Cricetulus griseus: one gene and its partners. The protein of the gene in region 2 interacts with the protein of the main gene of each other region in a biochemical or structural test. Links are inferred from orthologs where the notes say so. Each region holds a gene or a part of one and is shown on either strand. Other genes may lie near its edges.

Region 1 (8,021 bases), on a different chromosome or scaffold from region 2:
CTTTGCTTACTTCTTTCACCCTTTCCACAGACCCTGGATAGCACAGTACTCAGAACCTGCACCTTCAGGGTCCACTTCTCCAATAGAAGTTCAAGAAAGCATCCTGGCTCTAGGTATAGATGTTGAGATACAATTTTTTAGGTTCACTGTGCTCAATCTGGTTGTAAGGGAGAAGACATTGCTCCTATTTTCTCTCTAAAGCAGAGACCAAGTCAGCAAGCATTTTAAAATATTACATTATATTCTCCAGATCAGAAACATGGGTCCAGCTTCCTCTGGATGCCTGATTCTGCCTTCCAGCCTGGACTCCCCGCCTCTCCTCTTTGTGATGACACAACCACACTGTACTAGGATGGAGGGTAGGAAACCCTGAAGGCGAAACAGCAGGTCAGCACTGACACTTCATCTTACAGAAACTATTGTGAAAGGTGGAGCAATGAAGATCCATGAACAAAAGTCTGGAGTAGAAGTGTCTTCACAGAGACTATGCCAGCAGCCAGCAATTAGGACGGGAATACAACACACACACACACACACACACACACACACACACACACACACACACACACACACATGACCTCTGCCACTCAGAAAATTGGTTCTAGTCCAGGTTCGCCTTGTTACCTGTCTCCTGCCCAAACTCTTTGCAGCAGCTGTGATTGTACTCTTATATGCTTCAAAGGTGAGGTAGGTTCCTGCCCAGCTGATGAGCCCAACCCTTAGGTCCTCGGCTTTAGGATGTCTGTGTATCCAGTCCACCTCAGCCATGGGGCCAGTGCCACAGGTGATGACTCTGTCCGGCCCAGGCTTCCCCCCAGTGGTAAGGTCCCACAGGCCATATGGCCGGGAATAAGGCCCGTAGTACCCACCAGAAGCCGTTCCTAGAGGAAACTTCCCAGGCAGAGGTCTGGCCTAGGGCCCAGCACCTCTGTGACCCGGGAGCATTGTGACTGAAAAGGTTGCCTCTTATCCCACCACAGTGGGGAAAGGGCACTGTCCTAGTAGCATCAATCCATGGGCCAAGGGAAGTGGGTCCAGAGCTTTTGGCATGTCTTCCCGACCAACTCCAAGCAATGAGGTAGGACTAACCTGGGCATCAATACTGCAACCTGTGACTTTGGGCCCATCCTTCCCTTTCTTATTAACAAGATAGGAATCAACCTACTTGCTTCCCAACAAGAGGGTTCTGCTAGGTTCTCCATAGCCCAAGTTTTCTCCCTCCCTCCCTCCCTCCCTCCCTCCCTCCCTCCCTCCCTCCCTCCCTCCCTTCCTTTTCTTTTTTTTTTTTTTTTTTTTTTTTAAGTTCAAGTTCAAGTCTTTACGGACCTTGAGAAGACAAGGTCAAAATGTTTTGGAAACTACTTTGCAATGAAGGTGAGGGAAATGGATACATAACCATTGAGGATGAAATTACTCTCATAACTTCAAAGGCTCAGAAAGAATGACTTAGGTGGAGGGAACTCCAGCACTGTGCTTCACCAACCCTGGCTGTGGTACAGGTGAACCCACTGGGCAAAAAGCCAGTTCTGCCTGAAAAGATACCAGCCCCACTCCCAAAGGGCTCTGCTGGATCACTTCCGGCAAAGCTCAAGGAGAAAACCTCAGCTTAGAGCCTAGACAAACCGCAAATATGGAAAGAGGTACATAAAAAGAAACAGTGGGACAACAGGTCTTGTTTAAGCTTCGTTGGGATCCACAGGGAAAAAGGCAATCAACTTTGCTTGGAGACTAGCCCAGAGCCATGGCATTTACATGTCCTTCCTGATTCTGCATAGATGGGGTCTTCCCAGGTATAGCGTCCCAGTGGTCCCCAGCAAAGGCTCCACTGGTGTTCCGTAAAGAAAGGCTAATAGATGCTGCCCAGTGCTGGAATCATTTGGGTAATTTTAAACATGTATGTTGTTGGGGAAGGCTTCAGACCAGATCGATCATTTTTCTTAAGAGTGTCTTGGGACTAATCTTTTTAATGTCCATTTCTTCCCCGTGTACAAAGCTACCATGAAGAACTGCTACACAGCTGGGTAAGAGACAGGAAATAGTAGGCTCTGTGGTTTGTGGAATGAGGTGGACTCACACTCCTAAATAACCGTCCTCAGAATGGAGGATGAAGTTGATTTCCTCCCCTGGAAACACTACAGGGAGAAGCTTACATGTGTTGACTTCACAACTTCAGGGGCTTTAAGCCTCTCCCATATTGTCTTTTTGTACCCACAGTAACTCAGCTTTCCAACTTCCAGGCTACAGACAACACCGGGTACAAACCACAGCAAATTTATTACTCAATATCCAGTTCCACGTCATAGCACCACCCGGAGCCCTCACTTTCCTCCCCCCAAACGTGGCCCCAAGGGTACACCCAGAACAGAAAAAAAAAAAAATGAAATTAAATCCAGATCCCTGCTCCTCCCCTGGAAGAGGGGGCCTTGGCCAGGAAGCCCATCCACAGGTCCCAGCAGGCAGGAGAGCAGAGCCCTCTGTGCCCAGAGAGCGAGGCTCCAGGCTCCCACGACAAGAGAACATGCAGGCAGGAGCAGGAGCAGAGGCCTGTCTGTGGGGAGGAGGAGTGGGAAGGAAGGGCACTGCCTGAGGAGTCCGGGAGTCTGGTCATCCCGGGATGCACGCGGGAGCTTCCGGGCAGCAGGGGCCTGCCCCTGGCTGGCTAACGCTTTGACAGCTCATGGGACAGCCAGTCCAGCCCATCATACAGGCCCGTGCCTTGGGTAGCACATGTGGCCTGGACATACCACTGTAGGAAGAAAGAGAGGTAGATCAGCATCAGGGAAGACAAGGAGTACCTTTCTACCTTGGTCTAGCCTGGGGATCCTGAGAAAGACCAGACCCAGTGCAAAGGGGACAAGATCCTTACCGTGCGGCTACGCAAGTGCTGAAGCCCCAGCTTGTCAGTCAGCTCGCTCACAGGCATGGCATTGGGCATGTCCTGCTTGTTGGCAAACACCAGCAGCACGGCATCCCGAAGCTCATCCTCCTGCAGCTGAGACGGGAGAAGACAGGGTGGAACTATGGCTGCAAAGACCCTGGGCCCCCTGCTGACTATGTTGTAGCAGGGTTCCCTACACAGAGTACTATGCAGCTTATTGCTGAATAGAAGGCAGTTATAAATGAGCGCAAAGCCCCTAAATTTTACCCCTAAATTTTACCTCCAGAAAGCCTTCAAACAAAATGCAGAACATTAAAAAACAAAGAAAAACAAGAAACATGAGAGGTTGTTTCTCTTTACCACAGATAACCCCTCTTCCTCTCCCCAACTGCTTAGACTCAGACAGAAAGGGATTTAAATGAAAAAGTCCTGCCAAACTGGGTGAGGTGCAACTCATCCAGTGCCACAAAAATCTCCTATTCCCCACCCACAGAGTACTGGACTTCCATACCACCTCAGAGAACTGTTTGTCACCAAGCTCAGTTCTCTGATCTGGACACTCACCATCTTCTGCAGTTCATCAGCAGACTCCTGGACCCGCTCTCGGTCATTACTGTCTACCACGAAGATGAGGCCCTGAGTGGGAAGGAAGAAAGGAAGCAGGAGAGATCACGCCCACCTACGCCCAGCCCCAATGTGGCTTCTTCTCATTTCTCCCATCTTTAGTGGTATGAGCCTTTCTCATCCAGTACATTTCTATTAAGGATCTGTGCCCCAAAGACAGAGGGGACAAACAAAAAGATGTTCTGTTTGAGAGCTAGAGGAGGCAGCATAGCCCAGAACCCTGCCTCCCAGAATAAGATGAGGGTGAGTTCTTAAGGAGGAGTTCTTAAGGGGAGAGGGATGAGGGCCCAGGACTCAGCCAATACTTCATTCCAGGCCCGTCCCACCCTCTCCCTGGGGTTGTCCCTCTACCCTCGGTCCCCACCCCACCTGAGTGTTCTGGAAGTAGTGCCTCCACAGAGGTCGAATCTTGTCCTGGCCTCCAACATCCCAGACTGTGAAACAGATGTTCTTATATTCCACTGTTTCCACATTGAAGCCTGCAGACAATGTTTTTGGAGAGAGAGAGAGAGAGAAAAAAAGTCCTGAAAGGAACTCACTAAAACCACTTGGATCAGCTCAGCAGTGGTGGCACACCTTTAATCCCAGCACTCAGGAGGCAGAGGCAGGTGGATTGTGAGTTCGAGGCCAGCCTGGTCTACTGAGAATTCCATGACAGCCAAGGCTACAGAGAGAGACCCTGTCTTGAAAACAAACAAACAAAAACAAGAAAACAAGAAACAAACAAACAAAAAAACCCCACTCGGATCTCTACAGGCACACAAACTCAGGGGGCAATGACCAAGGCCAATGGGAATAGAATCCAGAAGGACCGGAGGTCAACAGATATGCTAGGCTCATGGTCCACGCCTCAGGCACCAGCAGGCACGCAGAGATACCGTGACCCACTTCTCAAGTAGCTGTATCTGGTGTCAGGGTCAGGAACAGATAAGGGCCTCAGCAGCACCAGGAGCAGACCCCGAGAAGGCCCGAGGCGACATTCGTTCCCGGGCTCACCTATGGTGGGAATGGTGGTGACAATCTCCCCCAATTTCAGTTTGTACAGGATGGTAGTCTTGCCAGCCGCATCCAAGCCAACTGCAACGGAGAGGGGCACAGAATGGAGACGGGAGCGAGGGAGCCCCCTAGAGACCAGGGACAGGGAGAGGACTGGCCAGCTGATGGTGATGGGGGCGGAGAGCGGGAGAGCCTCCAGGTGCGAGCCGTTCTCCACCTTCCGGGCCTTGAGGGCAGTCTGGGTGGCGAGTGCCAACTCCTGCCGCCCAAGCGGCCGAGGGGCGAGAGGGGCAGGAGAGGTGGGGGGCCCGGGAGGAAGGCCGCGTTCCTTTGAAAAGTCGTTTCCAAGGGCGGAATCCTCCCTGCTTAGCAGCCGGGCTGGGGCGGAGGAAGCGTCACCCCACCCAGGCCCCAGCTCCGGGTTCCAGGCCCGGGGCGGACACCGCAGATCCCGGCCTGCACCCGAGCGCAGCCCCAGAGGCTCGGGCGGTGGGGTGTCTCGGGGTCAGGGTACCAGGTGAGCGGGGCTGGAGGGACGCGGGGGCGGGAGGGTTGCGGCGGGGCCGGCGCCCCATCCGGGCCGCGCGCTCGATCTGCCTCACCCATGAGGATCCGCATCTGCTTCTTCCCGAAGATCCGCGAAAAGAGCGCGGACACCGTGAGGCCCATGGTGGGGCCCGGGGCGGGGGCGCGGGCAGGGACGCGGGGTGAGGGCTGGAACCGGCCGGTCGCGGGGGGATGGGGCGCAACAGCAGAAGGAGGAGGCGCCGCCGCCGCCACCGCCTCCGCGCGTCCGGGCCCGCCCGACGTCACGTGGCCACGCCCCTCCGGGCCCGCCCCAGCCCCGCCCCCAAGCACGTTTGCGGAAGAACTGAAGTCTAGCGAGGCCTGGCTACCTTTCCCTGGCCGAGGCTGGAAAGGGCGCAGTAATCCTGGGTCTTAGGACCACTGCGGGATTTTGCTATGTTCTTCGGTCATAGACTTGAATTCCTAAGAAGGCCCTGACAGGTTCGAAAAATAGCTTTAAAAGATTCTCAGAGTAGGGGCCGCAGAGACGGCTCAGAGGTTAGGAGTACTGGCTCTTCTTCCAGAGGTCCTGAGTTCAATTCCCAGCAACCACATGGTGGCTCACAGCCATCAATAATGAAATCTGGTGGCCTCTTCTGATGTGTGTATACATAATAAATAAATCTTTTAAAAAAATTCTCAGAGTAGTTTATTCTCTTTTGTTTGGAGACACTGTGCCCACTACGTCACTAGCTTTGGGTGGCCTGGGACTTGCTGTGTAGACCCGACTAATCTCGAACTCACAGAGATGCGGCTGCCTTGGCCTCCCGAGAAGATTCTTAGAACAGAAATACTCTCTTCATCCCTGTTGTCACTACTATTTCACTAGTCTCTTTTTATGCCTGAGTCTCCTCACAGGCTTCCCGCCCCCTTGGTGCCTTCACAATGTCACAGGAGCCTTGCTTTTTAGCCCCTCCCCACTTTTATTTCTCGTGTGTGTGTGTGTGTGTGTGGGGGGGGCGTGGTGTAGAAGTCAGAAGACAACCTCCTGTGGGATGTGTTTTCTTCTTCGGCCATGTGGGTTCTCTTGATAGAACTCTGGTCAGGTCGTTGGGGCTTGGTGGAAAGTGCCTTTACTGCTGAGCCATCTTACAGGCCCCACAAGAGTCTCGACGGTGTCCTCTTGAGATTAAATCTTTTAATGTGTCGACGCCCGAGATGAAATGCCTTTAAGTTGGGTCCTACCTGTTCCAGCCTCATCAGTAGCTGCGCCTCTCTCACCCCACGCTACTGTTTAGGAATGATTCTTGTAAACTTTTCCACTTTCTTTGATACTGGTTTCCCACGTTTGAATTTGCTTGGCAGTCTTTACTCATTCTTCAAATCCCAAAAATGTTCTCCCCGAGAATCCCCATCCTTCTAGACAGGCATCTTCATCTCTTTTATACCACTTTGACGATGCCCACACATTCCAGTGTGAGGGCAGGGTCTACTTGTTTGCATGTCTGGTTCCTTGCTGTGACAAGTTTCTTGGCAGCAAGACCATGTTTCTTCAGGGTGCTGCCTGGCGTGGCACTTAATACCTTGAGAAGTGGACCGAGGTAGGATTCTTAAACTTAGCAGTAGCTGAATGGCTTTGGATAAGTCACCTCTGTGCAGTGTATGCTTCCACAACTGTAAATTGGTGTTTATGATATCCTCTGAACAGAATAAACAGCAAAAACTCTTGTGAGACCCCTACCATATACCAATATTCAAGATAAACCTTATAGCTATATTAGTGTCCATCTAAAAGCAGAACTAAGGAAGCGGGCTATTTTTGCTTTATGTTAGCCAGGTGCTGGGCTTGTTTTTCTAGTATGAGTCCTGTTGCTTTTTAGGGATATATTGGACATTGCCCCAAATAGTTGTACGCTTCTTTCCAACCCGGGATTTTTGGGGCAAACGCAGTGCGACGTCGCCCCCTGTCGCTCGCTGGTGGTAGTTTGGGGGCAAAGTTAGGCATCTTCTCCAAATCACTGCTCAGGTGTCCCGGACTTGGCTTTTCCCAACCATCCCCTCTGGTTACTCCCTCTCCAGGCTGTCAGCGCACCCTGGCTGCGGAAGCCCCGCCCACCTCGCGCATCTTGGAGGCGGGGTCTGTGGCGTTTTGCTGCCGTCATTTCCAGTGGATCCGGAAGCGGTGCTGCCAGCCGGCCGGAGTTAGGAAATCGAGATGGATCGGAGCTTAGTGTAAACCCTGGGCCGATCCTGGGCGGAGGTGGGCGGGCCTGGGTTTGGTGGTCAGCGGAGCGGCTGGGGTGGAGCGGCCTCTGGGCCAGTGTTGGAGAGCCGAGGCTGAGCGCTTCTGCTGGGCCAGCGTTGCCCCGCCTCCAGGTTGGAACCGGCTTCCACCTTGGGTCCGGCTCGGCAGCGCTTTTGCCTGGCTACCGCGGCCCCTCAACCCGCCCGGACAGCTGGGTGTGCGGCCTGCGGCCAGACGGTCCTCTCTACTTCACTTGTAGATGTTTTTGAGGCTCTGTCCACGGCTGCCAGAACACTGAGGTGGAGCAAACCGCTCCAGAACCCCCATGGAGAAGTTTGGAATGAATTTCGGGGGCGGCCCAAGCAAAAAGGACCTGCTGGAGACTATAGAGACACAGAAAAAGCAGCTCCTCCAGTACCAGGCTAGACTCAAGGATGTGGTCCGGGCCTATAAAAGTCTACTGAAGGAGAAAGAGGCCCTGGAGGCCAGCATCAAAGTGCTGTCGGTATCCCATGAGGCGGATGTAGGCCTTGCAAGTGTGCAGCCTCCAGGTCTCACGCTCCCTGACTCTGTGGATGATCGTTGCTCCACTCACAGTGAGGATAGCACCGGAACTGCCACTAGCTTGGATACTGCAGCCAGTCTTACGAGTATCAAGGGTGAGTTTGGGGTCGAAGATGACAGAATGGCCCGTGGACCACTTCCTCTAAAGTCCGAAGAGGCCAGTGGGTCAGAGAGTGGCGTTAGTAGTAGCAGTGGGGATGGGCCATC
Region 2 (7,528 bases):
GTGAACACTGCAGGGCAGACAGCAGAGACAGGCCACAAGCCTTATACAGGACTTGGACCTGGGCACAGAAAGGCAGGGCTCCAGTATTGATATATTATACATATATATATATATATATATTTCATATGTATACACAGATAGTTTTCTCTCTGGAAAGTATTAAAAAATTGATCAACCTTCAATCTATAAAAAATACCTACTCTACATGATAGAAAAATCTCTCCTCCAAGTTTACACTGATTTACACACAAGGCTTTCCCCAAAATGTACAATACGAGGCAACATCTTAAACCGTAGTGTAGAAGGTACGCAAGGGCGGGGGATAGGCAGTGAAGGGATGCAGGGCAGCATGTGTGGGCACAAGCATACATACATTCATACTTGTGTGCACACTCATGCATGCACACACACACACACATACACACACACACACACACACACACAGCCTATGGTGTGGTCTCACTCAGTGTGCCCAGATTCCCGGGCTAGTGCTCAGGCTCAGGCCCATGGATGCTGCACTCTGTGAGAGTGGTGCAGGGGCAAGCAGCAAGCCTTCCTTCCTCTGCCTCTAGGTCTGTGTAGAGCCTTGTCCACCTACCTACTCACCAGCAAAATGACTCCTGGGGCACACCCAGGGACTTAAAGTCAAAAGCAGAGAAGGAAATTTTGTTTCAGAGGCCTAGACTATTGTCTGGGAAATGTCAACTTTTCCCAAGGCAGTAAAGTCAGCCTGAGGAGGGCGTAGGTCCAGGAGCCAGGGTAGGCCACACCTGAGGAGAAGCAGCACCTGCACCTGGGTGTTGACCAGTCCAGGAAGTGAGTTCCATAGTCAGCATGAACTAGCTGCCCTAGCCCCCACAAGAGGACCAGAGCTGACGAGTTACTGTGTGAGAGTCTGGACAAAGAATGGCTGTGTGGCTTGGAGGCCCTAGGTCCAAAGGTGAATGGAAGCCCATCTGGTGGGAGAAGGCTTGAGCAGCGCAAGGAGAACAGGTAGCCTGTGGCTCCGGACCAGATCCCACATATGCCATCTTTACCTGCCTGTCTTTCCAGAACTACCATGTCTATGTCCAACTTGTGGGTCCTCAGCTTGCATACCATGTGGGAATGGCCAAGCTTGGGTGGCACCATGTCAACATGAGTGAGAGGCAGCAACTGAGGTGAGGATTCATTTTCTCCCTCTCTTCCTAACAGGCTGCATAGCAGGAAGAGGGGTTTGTCAGAGAGTCATTGAGGGGCCCCTCCCAGCTTGAGAGACTATCCCTACACATTTTCATTCTGCTGAGCAGACATGGATGTTGCTGGCTAGGCCAGCTTACGGTGGGAGGCCCTGGCTTCCTGACATTCAAGGAGCCCAGCCTCATTCCTTGTCTGCTGTCGACTTCCCTTTCTTCCTCTTTACTGTTCTTTACTCTTTACTGCAGCCCTTATCTTTACTCTCCCAGTCCAGTTGCATGAGGCCCCGTATACTCTAGGTTTGGTAAACTGGAGGACCTGCAGGTCTTGGCTCAGTCACTCTGGTGCGCTGTGGAGTCTATAACCAGCCCAAACTGGGCTAAGATGTCCTACTTGACCTCTAGGATGGATGGGTTGGTCTCCAGGATGGCCACAATAATCCTGTCAATGTAGTCCTGCAGGCGGAAATTGATCTCCTCCTGCTTTTGGATTGCTTCCATGAGCTGCAGAAAAGCAAAGGGTCAGTATACAGTGAAAGGAAGGGACCTGTGCAGAACAGACAGACACCTAGGGGTATACAAAGGCAGGACAAGCTACCTCATCTCGGGAGACAGAGCTGATCTCTGCAGCCAGTGACTCAGAGAAGGACGTGGAGAAGAGGCTCTTGGCACCCTGGATGCTGAGGGTGATGATCTGTCCATTTAGCTCATCATTTTGCTCCTTCAGGTTGCGGTTGTCCTAGGGGACATGGCAGTGTTACACTGGGCTATGCCCCTTGCTGGGACAAGGAGCTGCCAGGAAGGACCTCATCTTGCTGCCCCCTCTCATGAGCCTCTGTGAGGGTAGGTGGAAAGGCAGAACACACCTGTTTGAGCCTGCGGACCTCCTGCTCAAGCTCACTCTCCCGCGCACGGCTGTTGTACTCCTGCAGGCCCAGGCTGCTGCTGCGGCCTCGTCGTTGCTCCACCTCAAGTCTGAGGAGCTGCAGATGTTCTAGCTGCTTGCGGAGGTCCTCGATCAGCTGTGAGGCAACCACAAGGTGGGCTCCTGTTAGTTGGCTTGACCACCCTCTCCTGGGAAGGTGCTGACCTGTGTTCTAAGAGGCTGCTGCATACCAGAGTATTAGAAAACAAAAGGGTTTCCTGGCCTCTGTCAGGGAACAGGCAGCATTCGACAATATGAGAACATGGGGAGGGACAAATGGCCCTGCTCACCTCCTGAGTTGCTTCTTTGTCTCTCTGGAATTGGTGCCGCTCATGGCTCAGCTTGTCCCCCATCTTCCTCTTATTCTCCTGTTCTTCACTGAGACGCTGTGTCAACTCTTCAATCTCATCCAGCATCTTCTGCTTCTCCTGCAAAAACAGACACCAGTGTGGACAGGTACTAATGGCACCAGTTTACCGGTATATACAGCCTAACTCCCAGTCCACTGACAGACATTACAGTTCCCACTTTCAGTTCATGACAGAGTTACCAATCTGCCCCACCCTTGCCCCCCAGAAGACCATACTGATTTGTCAGGCAGAGGGTTGAGGACAGTCTTCATTCCAGGCAGGGCCTTTCCCACAAGTACCAGGCCAGGAGCTCACCTCTTCCAGGCGCTCAATGTTGGCTTTCAGACAAGGTGTGCAGGACCGCAGCTCACTGTTCTCCTCATCCAGCTGCTGCAACCTGGGACACAAGAACAGGTTAGGGCATGTTCCGCCTAAAATGTGTCTCCAAAGGACAAGGAAGGCCTAGCTCTAGAGGAATACTCACACCCTGGGAACTGTTTTGTGACCCACAATAATCCCAACTGCATGGCCAGTCTTTACCTCACTACCCAGCTTTTTTGTTGTCTGTTTTTTGTCTTTTGAGATAGAGTATTATGAAACCCAAGTTGGTCTCAACTTTCCTGTGTAGACATGGATGATCCTGAATTCCTGATCCTCTAGCTTCTACCTCTTAAATGCTAGGAGTACAGGTATGTGTTACCTTGCACTGGCCATGATGACTTTAAAAACTCTAGAAAGTGCAGAGTGTCTGTTTTGGTTTTCCTGCTTGTCACTGTGCCACATCACAACCTGTGCTCAGCCGGATCACACTATTAATCAATGCACACATTCCACCAAACCTTAGGTCTTCACACATTATCCTTATGTCTTTTATATTTTCTGGTCTGTGTGCCTCCCAGACTGTCATACTGCGGTAATCTTGGACATATATTCTGCAAAATGTGCCTCAGACTAGTTTTTGGTGTTTATAGACTTGTGTGTATGGCAGGGGTGCTTAGGGAAATTTTTGGCATAGTGAGGTCCTTGTCACACTCCCACTACCATCATGGGTCACTTGGTTAAGCTGTGTCTACTAGGTAGGTATCTCTGCTGGTCCCTTAGTTTATACCTCCAGAGAGGGACCCCACACAAGCTCCTGGAGGGGAGTATGCAGACACTATTTGTATTTCTATGAGAGCAAGACTCTTGTCTTCTATCTACAGGCTGACAGTGTGGCTGAGGACTCCTGCCCGTCTCATTTACACCCTGTCTATCCTCCCATGGGATTGTTACCATTGCCATTCGCAGCTCTGGTCACTGGAAGCTCTTTCAGTTGGCTCCAGTGTCCCTTTGGCACAGTTCCATCAGTGTGTAAGTGTATATGGATATTTCCGTTATCAGTTTCTCCTGGATTATGACTGTTAATGTACCAAACACCCATGGTGTCAGTTCCAAGTGAACACAAAATTAATTCTGCCAAATTCTCTTAAAATAAAAGTTGATATTTTGGGGATGGGTTGGGGGGATGAAGTCTCTGTTTCCCAGGCTGGCCTTATGTTCAACTGAACCTGAATTTAATGCCCAAAACCCACATGGTAGGGGAGAACCAGTTCCTACAAGTTGTCCTATTGACTTCCACACTTGTACATGTGTACACACAAACACATAATGAATTAATGTAATCTAAAAATTAAAAAAAGAAGTTTTGGCAAGGCAGTGGTGGTGCATGCCTTTAATCTTAGCATTCAGGAGGCAGAGGCAGGAGGGTCTCTGTGAGTTCGAGGCCAGCCTGGTCTACAGAGGTAGTTCCAGGACAGCTAGGGCTGCTACACAGAGAAACCCTGTCTCAAAAAACAAATAAATAAGAAGTTTTAGGCATCTTTTCATGTGAGTGCCCCTTTTCTGTTATGAAGCTTCTCCTTCTATCTTCCAGGCTGACAGATTTCTGCTGCCTGCTCCAGAGCTTTGCTTACCTGGCCTGCAGGTTCTCGATCTCAATGCTCTTCTCACGTTCCATCTTACACAGGAGCTCCTTCTGCTTCCTGGTTTCTTCCAGGACCCTCTCTTGGGCTCTGAGCTCCTGCTCCTTCAGTTGCTCTTCCAGGGCATTGGCTCTAAGGGAAAAGGGGAGAAGTGTATATCTGTAAAGTATATGAAAGCTGTCCCAGTGAGACCACTACAAACTCAGATAAGTAAGGCCTGAAGAAAGAGCCAGAAAGTGTTGGGGTCTGAGGGCTGCAGCAGTGTGTAGAAAGCAACTGTGACAGCAAGTCCACGCTGCTAACACAAGTACAGACTTCATTGGCAGCACAGTTAGATGTGGTGACACTTGAGGGGCAAGACCAGCTGCTTGGTACATGTGGACCCCAAAGGCTGTGGTGGAGCTGCACCTAGAGAAAAGGATTCATTGTGCACCTAGTTCCCTCCAGGATCACTTACAGAAGATCCCTGATAAGGCTTGAGACTCTGGCCTCTTACAAACTGGGGACAGTCAGGGGTAATCCCTGAGAGAAGTACTGCCAGCCTCACCCACAGCTGTGAAAAAGCCATAGCCCCAGCATGTACACCTTAGCTCCTCTTTGTTGTACAAGAATGAAGACCAGTTAAGAGCACCAGACAGCACAGGAGTCTGGTAGCACAATGAACAAACACGTCATACAGGCATCTACAGTTTGGAAAGCCTTATGTCTGGTGCTGTGAGGAACTAAGAGTGGCAAACTATGGGAAGAACATATTTAAAAACAACTCTTAAAGCCAGGTGCGGAGGTACACACCTTTAATCCCAGAGACAGGCAGATCTCCGAGTTTTAGGCCAGTGGGGCCTACAGAGCAAGTTCCAGGACAGCCAGGACTACACAAAAAAACCCTGTCTCAAAATAACAACAACAACAAAATAACTCAGGATATACACAACCCTCAGCTGACTCTAGTAAGGGACAAAGTGGTAACATTAGAGATTATGAAAATGAAGAAAAAGTTCGACTATATCTACCATGACCAGAATGAAGAGACGAGACTGTAGACAGAGCTTTAGGATTCTCTGAAGGGCTGGCAAGATGGCCTGGCATGTAGAGGTGCTTGCCATCAAGTCTAACTACCTGAGTTTGAGTCCCAGAAACCACAGGGTAGGAAAAAACCAACTGCCTCAATCTGTACACACACACACACACACACACTTCTCAGAGTTAAAGACTGAAAGTCAATGCTCAGCACAGAAACCTGACAGCCACATGGAGACATCCAGGGAATACAAAGAACAGCAGCACAGGCTCCTTCCTAGGAAGGTCAGCCACATTCAGAACACATCTCCAAGGGCTCCTGATCCCCTCGCCTCCACCTCCTAAGTGCTGGGATTACACGACCCCAGACATGGCTCCTTATCAGTTCTTTCTAAAAGATTTATTTTTAGTTTATGTGCATGTGTGTTTTGCTTCCATGTATGTAAGTGTGCCACGTGTGAGTTTATGCCCATGAGGAGCTGGAGTTGTAGAGTTGTGAGCTGCTACGCAGGTGCTAGAAACTGAACTCAAGTCCTCTGCAAGAGGAGCAAATGCCACATCTCCATCCCCTTGGTTTCTTTTCATTTCTGGCCCCCCTCCCCTTGTTTTTTATGTCACTGTGGTCCAGGCTCCCTTGGAACTCACCACATTCCTGCCTCTTTTCTTTTCTTTTTTTTTTTTTTAAAGAATTTGAAATGACCTTTATTTCTTTCTCAAAACCCCCCTCTTTTCTTTTGCTCTATGCAGACAGCAACTCTGCCACATTTCACCTTGCCCATGTGAGGAGATCATGCCACTTGCCTTCCTGTTCAATTTGCTTTTTGGTTAAGCAGCTTGAAAATGCTGAGGTCTGCAGAGGCCATGCCCCTGCACAAGATCTTCCTTACCTGTTCCTCCAGGACAGAGCTCTGTCCTCAGCCCCACAGCCCTGCTGTCCTCTGAGGCCCTGGACAACCATGTAAGCTGCACTAACTCCATTTTCTCATCTGGAAAACAGAGAAAGTGTCTGCCTCCCACAGTTACTGAAGGATAAATGAGGGGAGCAAGAGCCTCAACACAGGGCCAATGCCACGGCTGGAATGTTTTCCCTGGGGCAGGTTCTCAGAAACAGAGTCATCAGAGGCTCCCATTCTATGAACTGGCTGCACATGGACCCTGGGTCAGTTCCACAAAGAGTACCAAGTGCTTCAGAAAACTGACCTGTAGCCTTTAATCCCAGCACTCAGGAGGCAGAGGCAGGTGGATCTCTGTGAGTTTGACTCCAGCCTGGTCTACAAAGTGAGTTCTAGGATAGCCAAAGTTACACAGAGAAAGCCTGTTCTGAAAAAACAAAACAAAACAAAACAAAAAACAAACCAGAAAAGCGGCCTCAAGGCTCTGGGTGCAGCGACGCCCTCCAACTTTGAGGGTCTGTCTGGAACTCAGCCTCATACAGCACATGCTCCACTACTGAGCCCCTCCCCACATGATTTATTTATTGTTTAATTTTTGAAAGATTTGTTTTATTTTTATTTTATCTGGGTGTTTTGCCTTCATGTATGTCTGTGCACCACATGTGTGCAGTGTCTGTGGAGGCCAGACGAGGCGGTGGATTCCCTGGAACTGGATTTACAGAGAGGTGCAAGCTGCCGTGTGAGTGCTGGGAAACAAGCGTGGATCCTCTTAGCTGCTAGGCCATCTCTCCAACACCTTGTTTTAAAAATTTTAAAATCTCGGTGTGTGTATGCAAGTGCATGAGCACGTGTGTGTTGTCAATGCATGTGGTGTCATCCTCAGGAACACTGTCCACTTCCTTTGAAGCCCGATTAGGCTACACTGGCTGGCCAGCAAAGCCCAAGGGTTCTCTTGTTTCTACCTCTCTAATTCTGGGATTACAACTGTGTGTCCTCATGCCTAGCATTTACATGGGATTTGGGGATAAAATCCAGGTCTCCATGTTTGCCAAGACAAACACTTTACTGGCTGGTACCATTTCTGATACCATTTCATATAGTCTAGGCTGATCTTGGACACACTATATACCCAAGAATAACCTTGAACTCGAGACCCTCCTACACTCCCCAAGTGTTTGGATTGTGCATATGCATCACAATGCCCAGC
Region 3 (8,161 bases), on a different chromosome or scaffold from region 2:
TGGCATGGCATGCCTGCTGGCACTCTTGAACTCCGAACTCTTGAATGGCTCTGTTATGCAGCCATGATTACCAACCTACATGAGACTGGGTCTGTTAATGCCCTGTCATGGAGGTGGGGAGGGGCCCTTGTATCTCTCTTCTTCCAAATTCATATGAAATTAACAGTTGAAAGGGGAGGGAGGGAGGGAGAGGCATGTTTTAAGGGTCGTAGCCACTGGTAAGGTGCCCATGTTGCTGTAAACAACCCTAATGAAACTCACTGTGTCACAAAAAAAAAAAAAAAAAACCGGGTGGGTGTGTGGTGGTGGTGTGGTGGTGGTGGTGGTGTGGTGGTGTATACCTTTAATCCCAGCACTTGAGGCAGAGGCAGGCAGATCTCTGAGTTCAAGACCAGCCTGGTCTACAAGAGCTAGTTCCAGGACAGCCTCCAAAGTCACAGAGAAACCCTGTCTTGAAAAACCAAAAAATTAAAAAAAAAAAAAAAAAGGCAAGAAAGTAGAAGGGGGTCTAGTTGGAAAAAGGAAGCCAGTAAAAAGGGGATTAAAATAAGGTAACTGAGGGTGAGTTTTGTTGAAAATATATATATATCTGAAAATGTCAAAATGAGACTGATTGTTATGTACCACTAATATGATAATAAAAAATTCATATAAAATTTATTGGCTAGATGGAATCAAGAAAATAAAATGTTTCATCTGTGGTATGGTTTAGTAGTTTCCTAAATTGTTGCCACTTGAAAGTATTTTTGTATATTAACATTTAGCTTAACTTAAAACAAAACAAAAAACCAAGAGCTCACTATGTAACCTTGGCTGTCCTGGAGCTTGGTCTGTAGACCAGGCTGGCCTCAGATAATCATCAGCCTGTGCCTCCCGAGCCCTGGGGTCAGAGGCACACACCACCTTACATTTTTAAAAATAGGTCTTATTCGGTGTTTCGTGTGTGTGTGTGTGGGGGGGCGAGAGCTACTGGAGTTCAGAGGACAACTTGTGGGAATAAGGTCTCCTTTAACCATGTGGATCTCAAGGATTGAATTCAAGTCCGGAGTGGTGGCAAGTGCTTTAATCACTAAGCCATCTCAAACAGCCCCCAAATTGACCTATTTTTAGAAAGTGGCATGATATTCCAAGTTTAAAATTTTCACTATCAGTGACTATGTTCTTGCCATTGTTAATTGTTTTGTATTATAATTATTCTTTAATAGTTTGTTATTGGGGCTGGGGAGATGACTCAGAGGCTAAAAAGCACTTGCTCTGTAAGCACAAATACCAGAGTTCAAACCTTCAGTCAGCACCCAAGTGAAAAGCCTGGTGTGGATTCAAGTACCGGTTGTTCCATAAGTGGGGTCACACCAGTAATCCTAACCCTATCCCCTCTCCTCGGAGGTGGAGGCTGGAGAATAATAATTTCAAGAACATCCTGAGCTATACACAGTGAATGTGATGCCAGCCTGGGACTCCAGCCTGAATTAAACATTAAATGTATTACGTGTCAAATGGTGACAGCCTAGGCCTAGGCTGGCCTAGAATTTATGCCTCACTTTCATCAGTTCGGGGACAGGCTGAGCCACCTTGTCTCGCTGGTGGCTACAGATTTTCTTAGGTTACAAAATAGAAACAGTATTATTATCAAACGCTGTTGTAACAACTTCTTTTAACTTTCTTTTCTCCCCTTGTGTTTATTTCTGCCCTTATTTGATATTTAAAGTTTCTATTCTAACCTTAACACTATTCATTTAATACAAAAAATGTTTCCAGGACCAGCTGGCTTAGCAGGTGAAGGTGGGGGCCGCCAAGCTTGATGACTTTTGAGTTTGATAGCTAGGACCCGCATGGTGGAAGAATTGACTCTGGCAAGTTGTCCTCTGACCTCTCCTGCGCACACGGACACTAAATGAGAAAGTATTAAAAAAAAAAAACCGAAACAAAACCCAAATAGGTTTCCTTATTGTTCGTGCAGCCCAGAGGTCAATTTAAGGGAGTTTTCTCCTTTCACCCTATGCGTTCTGAGCCTGGGGCACAGGTCCTCATTGTCGTCGGCCCTGATACTCTTTTCCTAAGAAACGTGGGCGGTTCCGACGAGACTTACAAAGAGAAGGAGTTTAAACGTTCCAAAGCAGGGTTTCGGAGCAAACCCAAGACTAGAAAAAAGTGAGGGCTACTTTGACGGACGGCTTCGGTGGCACGCCGACCTCCCACGTGTCTTCCAGGAAGCTGGAGGAAGTCGGGAGGCGACCGGGTAGAAAGGAGACCGTGTTGCTGGCAGGCTGGGGCGAGCGGGAGGGACGTTGCGCGGGGAGTCTGGGAACAAGCCTCGGCAGCGTGGGTGGGGGCGTCGGTCTCCAGCGCCGACGACGCCCACCCCGCAAGCGGCTTTGCACCCCGCGCCTCCGAGCGGCGGAGGAGGAAAAAACCGGGGAAGACCCCCCGGGAGAGCGACAGGTGGGCGCGTCGCCAACCCCGCGCCGCCGGGCTTCCGCGAGGCGCCTCCCTGGGTCCTGCGAGCCGCCGTAGCCCCGCCCCCCGGCGCGTGGCGCCCGTGACGTTGGGCGCGCGGGCCACCACTCTCCTTACTGAGGTCGCGCTCTTCCGAACGGTCGGGCCGAGTTGCGCACGCGCAGTCGGGAGGGGAAGTGAGGCGGTTTCCTCGGCGCCTTTTCCGGCGGCAGCGGCGGCGGCGGCAGAGCTGGGAGGAGGAGGAGGAGGTGCAGGCCGGAGGGAACCCGCGCTCGGGGCGGCGGCGGCGGCAGCTGGAGGTAACCCTCCCGGGCCGATCCCCGACCGGCGGGCCGCGTCGGCCTCCGCACCCACGGAGTCCCGGCGGTAACTCCCTTCTTCCCTTCTCTGTGTCCCTGCAGGCAGCACCGAGTTCCCGCGAGGATCCATGACCTGACGGGGCGCGGAGCCGCGCTCCTCGTCGGGTGACCCGGGTCGGTGGCGAGCCCGGTGCTCGCGGGCCGGCGGGAGGGCCGCGGTTGAGCCGCCGCGTGCCGAGGCGGCGGCGGAGCTGCTGTCGGCGGCGCCTGCGGGGGAAGGGCAGTTCCGGGCCGGCCGCGCCTCGCCTCGCCTCAGCAGGGCGGCGGCTCTCCCCGGCGCAGACGCAGGGCCCGGGCGGCGGGCGATGCCCGAGTGAGCGCAGGCCGGGCCCCTGCCCCTAGCAGGCAGCTTCGCGCAGGCCGCACGCAGGGCGTCCTCGCGCGGGGGCGGCTCCGTTTCGATCTCGCGGCGGTAGCAGCGGCGGCGGCGGCGGCAGCGGCGGCGGCGTTATAGGCTGAGGGGACCCGGGACACCTGAATGCCCCCGGCCCCGGCTCCTCCGACGCGATGGGGAAGGTGCTATCCAAGATCTTCGGGAACAAGGAAATGCGGATCCTCATGCTGGGTCTGGACGCAGCCGGCAAGACAACGATCCTGTACAAGTTGAAGCTGGGCCAGTCGGTGACCACCATTCCCACGGTGGGTTTCAACGTGGAGACGGTGACTTACAAAAACGTCAAGTTCAACGTGTGGGATGTGGGCGGCCAGGACAAGATCCGGCCGCTCTGGCGGCATTACTACACCGGGACCCAGGGTCTGATCTTCGTGGTGGACTGCGCCGACCGCGACCGCATCGACGAGGCCCGCCAGGAGCTGCACCGCATTATCAATGACCGGGAGATGAGGGACGCCATAATCCTCATCTTCGCCAACAAGCAGGACCTGCCCGATGCCATGAAACCCCATGAGATCCAGGAGAAACTGGGCCTGACCCGGATTCGGGACAGGAACTGGTATGTGCAGCCCTCCTGTGCCACCTCCGGGGACGGACTCTATGAGGGGCTCACATGGTTAACCTCTAACTACAAATCCTAATGAGCATCCTCCACCCATCCCCCGGAAGGAGAGAAATCAAAAACCCATTCATAGGATTATCGCCACCATCATCAACCTCTTTCAATTGCCACTTTCTTTTTTGAATCTGAACTCTGGAGTTACTGTTCTACGGTTTAGTGGGGTTGGGGTTTCCTCTTTTTCTTTTTCTTTATTTTTTTCTTTCTTTCTTTTTTTTTTTTTTTTTTGGCTTTGCGTTAGGATGCTCTGATCTGATATTTGACACGAAAACAGTGCTAGATGCTCTTGTGACTTCCAGCAAACGGGGTGGGGTAATAGCAGCTCTTGGTAAAATCCTTTATAATAATGGTTTGATTTTTTTATGTCGAGAGAATCTTTTTTTCCCCCCAATGTATGCTTTTTTCCTTTTTGCCCAGTTTCTTACCACTTGCTGTAGATGGCTTATTTTGCATTCATGCAGACTATGTTGCGAGTCTGTTTCATCTAGTAAACTGAAAATTATTGCTTAATCAAACTGCCGTTTGTCTTTTATATTTAAGGCCTTCCCCCTTTCCTTGTTAGTGCTAACTTTAGCAATTTCAAATGTGACCTTTTATATCCAAGACCAGTATGGTGAACTTAGCCCACAGTGGCAAAATAATGAGTAATACCAGTGTAATGTTCCAGTTGCACATCAGTGTGTGAAACAGGTAATGTAGGGAATCCCTTCAGGTGTCAGCTATTAAAGTGCATGAGTAGGAGTAAACTCAAGTTCCCTCACCATAGCTAACGTACGCTGCATAAAACAACTCACCTCTACAAGGGGGCAGATCTTTTAAACTGCAAAGTTAGTAACTTTGCTATTTCCCTCTCTTCTTCCTTTAAAAATAGACTCTTTCCAGAAAATGGAGCAATAATGGTGTACGCCACACAGATGAAATATTTGTAGATATTTTAAGTGACTTTCGGGCAAAATCGGCATATGTTACCTTGTTTCAAATCTCTTAAGACAAGTAGCTTTAAAATTACTAAACATTTACTTTGTTCACTAATAAAACATTTAAAAAGTCAAATTATATGCACCTTTTCCTAGCTGGAAAAAAAATACACATTCCTGTTTTCACATTACAGCAACTGATTAAACTGAAGATATATGACTTTTTTTTAAATAGATGAGTGATCTACATCTCCATTAATTAAAACACTGGAAAAGATGTTTTATTTAAAAAAAAGGTATTTAGTTTTGCTTGATTGTAGTATTAACTCATGCAAATAGATATCCTGTTGGTTCAGTCGTAGATCGTCTCCTTTAAGGAAGAAATGTGCTGAATGAGTGATGGAGACTGGAGGGGTGACACAGGGAGTAGGATGACGAGAAAGAACCTACAGATGACAATGAATGTAAATTTATTTTTCTTTAAGGGTAAGCATTGTGCTCTCTGGTGATATCCAGATCTTAACAAGATGAGCTGGTTAGGACCAGTTACTAGATTGAGACCACTATGGTGATAATTTTGAACCAAATGTTAATGTTGATTCAGAATTGTGAAGCAGCATCTGGTTCTTGTGTAGCCTTAAGGATTAATGTAGTGATCCTCAAGGAATGAAACTTAGGGAGTTTCGGAAATGTAGACTGCCAGGGCAGGATACAGGAAAAGGTGGAATGGTTCTGTTTATGAGGGTGTCTGAAAACTAAAGTCAAGCCGGATATCATGGTATCGTTGGACAGTATTGGTCCTTCATGTTTTGGCCATATTGTATAATGGAGCTTTTACCAAAGATGTATGAGAAACAGAAGGCTATACAAAAATGAGCTGTAAGTAAAACTAACTAAAAGCAGATGAGAAAAGGTGCTATGTTGTAGGCTCCTATTGGTGCAGAGGGATTTTGAAATCAAGACGCAACTAAAACCTAAAGTTCTCAGTTTCACATTAATAAAAATATCTCTAGAAATGAAGCTGATTCACATATTTAAGAACATTATAGTTGCTTTTAAAAATTCCCAAAGCTCCACCGTAAATGTAATTCTTAGTGTTTTAAATGATTACATTTTAAGGTACATAAATATGGTTATACAAATATCAATGCTACAGTAACATCCTGAAACAAAATAAGCACAAAGGTATAAATGCCTAAACTGGAGGAAACTTGAAACCCTCATGTTGATTCTTAAATGTAGTATTCTAACTTGTGACAGACAGATTGGTAGACAGCCATTTTTTTGTGTGTCTTAAAATAACTGGGGGCATAGTTAAAATTTTATACAAGTGATTGCTATTACTGAATGTTGCAGGTGAGATGGGTTATTTTTAGTTTATTTGAAATGTCTGAAAAGGGTGGGAGGGGGGAAACATTTGAAATTTGAAGAAAACCTAAACCTTTTGGAAAGAAACTGTAATTTTCACTTACATTTCTTTAAGAGTATATATAAAAGGTTTATAATTGATGTAGTTAAATTGAACCATAACCATTGGTGATTATGAAGCAGGAAATTAGAGCCTGCAGAAAAAGTTATAATGGAAGAATTACAAAAATAAGGTCCTAAAGATTTTGTTTAATTGCATCAATTTCTGTATTTGTGTGAATTTATAAACTTGCTAAGTTCTGAATGAGGTTAATCTTGTCTAATATAAGTAAATGAGTCTGTAGACTGTGATTCCCCCTTCCCCCAGCTAAAAAGTACAGTCCTTGGAATTGTTCTTTATGGTTGTAGTGTTGCTGAAGCACTAACATGCAGAAAATAAAGGAATTACACAGTGCAGTTTCTCACGTTATGTTACTTGGAGTAGATAAGTGGGATGTACTGGTATCTTGGGCTATGTTATTTTCCAGGATATATGGTAAAAAGTGAATTTGAGACTCATCTGACTTATAAAAGATAAAAAAGATTCTCCCCTAAATAGTGGCTATTTAAGGTGTTTTCTGTTTTAATTTTACCAATCCGTGTTCTGTGACAACTGAAGGTATTTAGGCCTCCCTTCCCCTTTGTAAAGACTAGGCAGGTGTTCCACCACATTGCTGGCTGGATCCTTGACTCTTTGCTGTAGTTTTCATTTTGAGATAGGGATTTAGTTGCTCAGGTGGACTTTGAACTTGTGATCCTTGCTCCATCCTAAAGTTGTTAGGGCTATAAGCCATCTCCACTGCAGGTGTCTATTTTTTCAAATTACAGTCTTAGCATTTTGAAAGTACAAAATTGTGTTTGTAAGGAATTGGCTTGCAGAGTTCTTTTTTAGTTGTCTTAATCTTTAATAGAGTTGGATTCAAAAATTCTTTGAGTTCAAAGTTGCTTGTTTGATTATAATTGTAGCCATGTGAAAGGCAAAATTGTGGATGAATAGCTTGAAATCATTTAAATATTCTTGTAAGCGTTCCCTACACTAGTCAAGTTTTTTTTTTTTTTTTTTTTTTTGTAGTTTGATTCTAATCTCATTGATGTGACATATAGTATGATTTAGATCATACATTAAGACTGGGTTTGTTAGTGCCTACCTGTAATCCCAGTACTTGAGAGATGGAGGTAGGAGGATCAGAAGTTTGAGATCAGCCTGGTCTATATGAGATCCTGTTATAACTAACTAGCTAATAAGACTCATTGATACTTCTAGTATATCTGTTACTGTGACTTACTGAGATGTCAAAGGTCAGTTTTTCAGTGGTAACAGTAGAAAATACTTTCTAATGGTTTGGAATACTTTAGACAGAAATTGAGCCACTGTATAGTTTGAATAGTAATATTTATCTTCTACATTCCAGTTATTATCTTGTTCTCTCCCTCTGTCTCCTCTGTCTGCAGCTTGTAGTCAGATAAGTCTTGTCTCTTAGACATAATAATTATATTTACAAACAACATGTAGAATTTTTTAGTATTTTTCATATCAGACTAATCACAGCATACCATATTTGGAGCCTAGCTATCAACAGAGTAGTATTTTGCTTGCTTAACCAAATGGCTGACAGAAGAAGAAGTGATAGTACTCAGAAGTTTATATTATTGAAGTATTATAAGGAGCTTAAAAAAAAATCAAGCACTGCCAGGCGCTGGTGGCACATGCCTTTAATCCCAGCACTGGGGAGGCAGAGGCAGAGGCAGGTGGATCTCTGTGGATCTCTGTGAGTTCAAGACCAGCCTGGTCTCAAGCTACACAGAGAAACCCTGTCTCTGAAAAACCAGGAAAAAAAAAAAAATCAAGCAGAGCAACTTGTTGTTTTGCCAAACTTTAAAGCTGTCAAACTAGTTGAACTGGCAGGGAACACTTGTGGATAAGATCAAAGAAAGTAGAATTGGTCTGTAGAGGGACTTAGGAATTATAATTGAAATTTGTTTATTATAGCTAAAGTAATGGTATGCT

The links.
Region 1: the proteins of Rab11fip3 (region 2) and Arf5 form a complex in vitro, tested with the Homo sapiens proteins (2 studies listed by BioGRID). The link is inferred for Cricetulus griseus from reciprocal best matches to the Homo sapiens genes RAB11FIP3 and ARF5.
Region 3: the proteins of Rab11fip3 (region 2) and Arf6 form a complex in vitro, tested with the Homo sapiens proteins (2 studies listed by BioGRID). The link is inferred for Cricetulus griseus from reciprocal best matches to the Homo sapiens genes RAB11FIP3 and ARF6.

What each region holds. Positions count from the first base shown.
Region 1 is NW_023276806.1:199,365,360-199,373,380, forward strand, and holds Arf5 (ADP-ribosylation factor 5), read right to left. Parts: upstream 5,266-8,021; 5' UTR 5,168-5,265; coding exon 5,101-5,167; intron 4,580-5,100; coding exon 4,499-4,579; intron 3,982-4,498; coding exon 3,872-3,981; intron 3,515-3,871; coding exon 3,443-3,514; intron 2,993-3,442; coding exon 2,867-2,992; intron 2,747-2,866; coding exon 2,660-2,746; 3' UTR 2,251-2,659; downstream 1-2,250. Other genes in the region: Fscn3 (fascin-3), read right to left, coding at 625-768; Gcc1 (GRIP and coiled-coil domain-containing protein 1), read left to right, coding at 7,576-8,021.
Region 2 is NC_048600.1:45,609,144-45,616,671, forward strand, and holds part of Rab11fip3 (rab11 family-interacting protein 3), read right to left. Parts: intron 4,544-7,528; coding exon 4,403-4,543; intron 2,848-4,402; coding exon 2,766-2,847; intron 2,529-2,765; coding exon 2,391-2,528; intron 2,198-2,390; coding exon 2,042-2,197; intron 1,915-2,041; coding exon 1,774-1,914; intron 1,680-1,773; coding exon 1,566-1,679; 3' UTR 1-1,565. UniProt on the Homo sapiens protein: Downstream effector molecule for Rab11 GTPase which is involved in endocytic trafficking, cytokinesis and intracellular ciliogenesis by participating in membrane delivery. Recruited by Rab11 to endosomes where it links Rab11 to dynein motor complex.
Region 3 is NC_048598.1:133,995,463-134,003,623, reverse strand, and holds Arf6 (ADP-ribosylation factor 6), read left to right. Parts: upstream 1-3,143; 5' UTR 3,144-3,323; coding exon 3,324-3,851; 3' UTR 3,852-6,570; downstream 6,571-8,161. UniProt on the Homo sapiens protein: GTP-binding protein involved in protein trafficking that regulates endocytic recycling and cytoskeleton remodeling. GTP-bound form plays an important role in the transport of multiple palmitoylated proteins form the Golgi to the plasma membrane.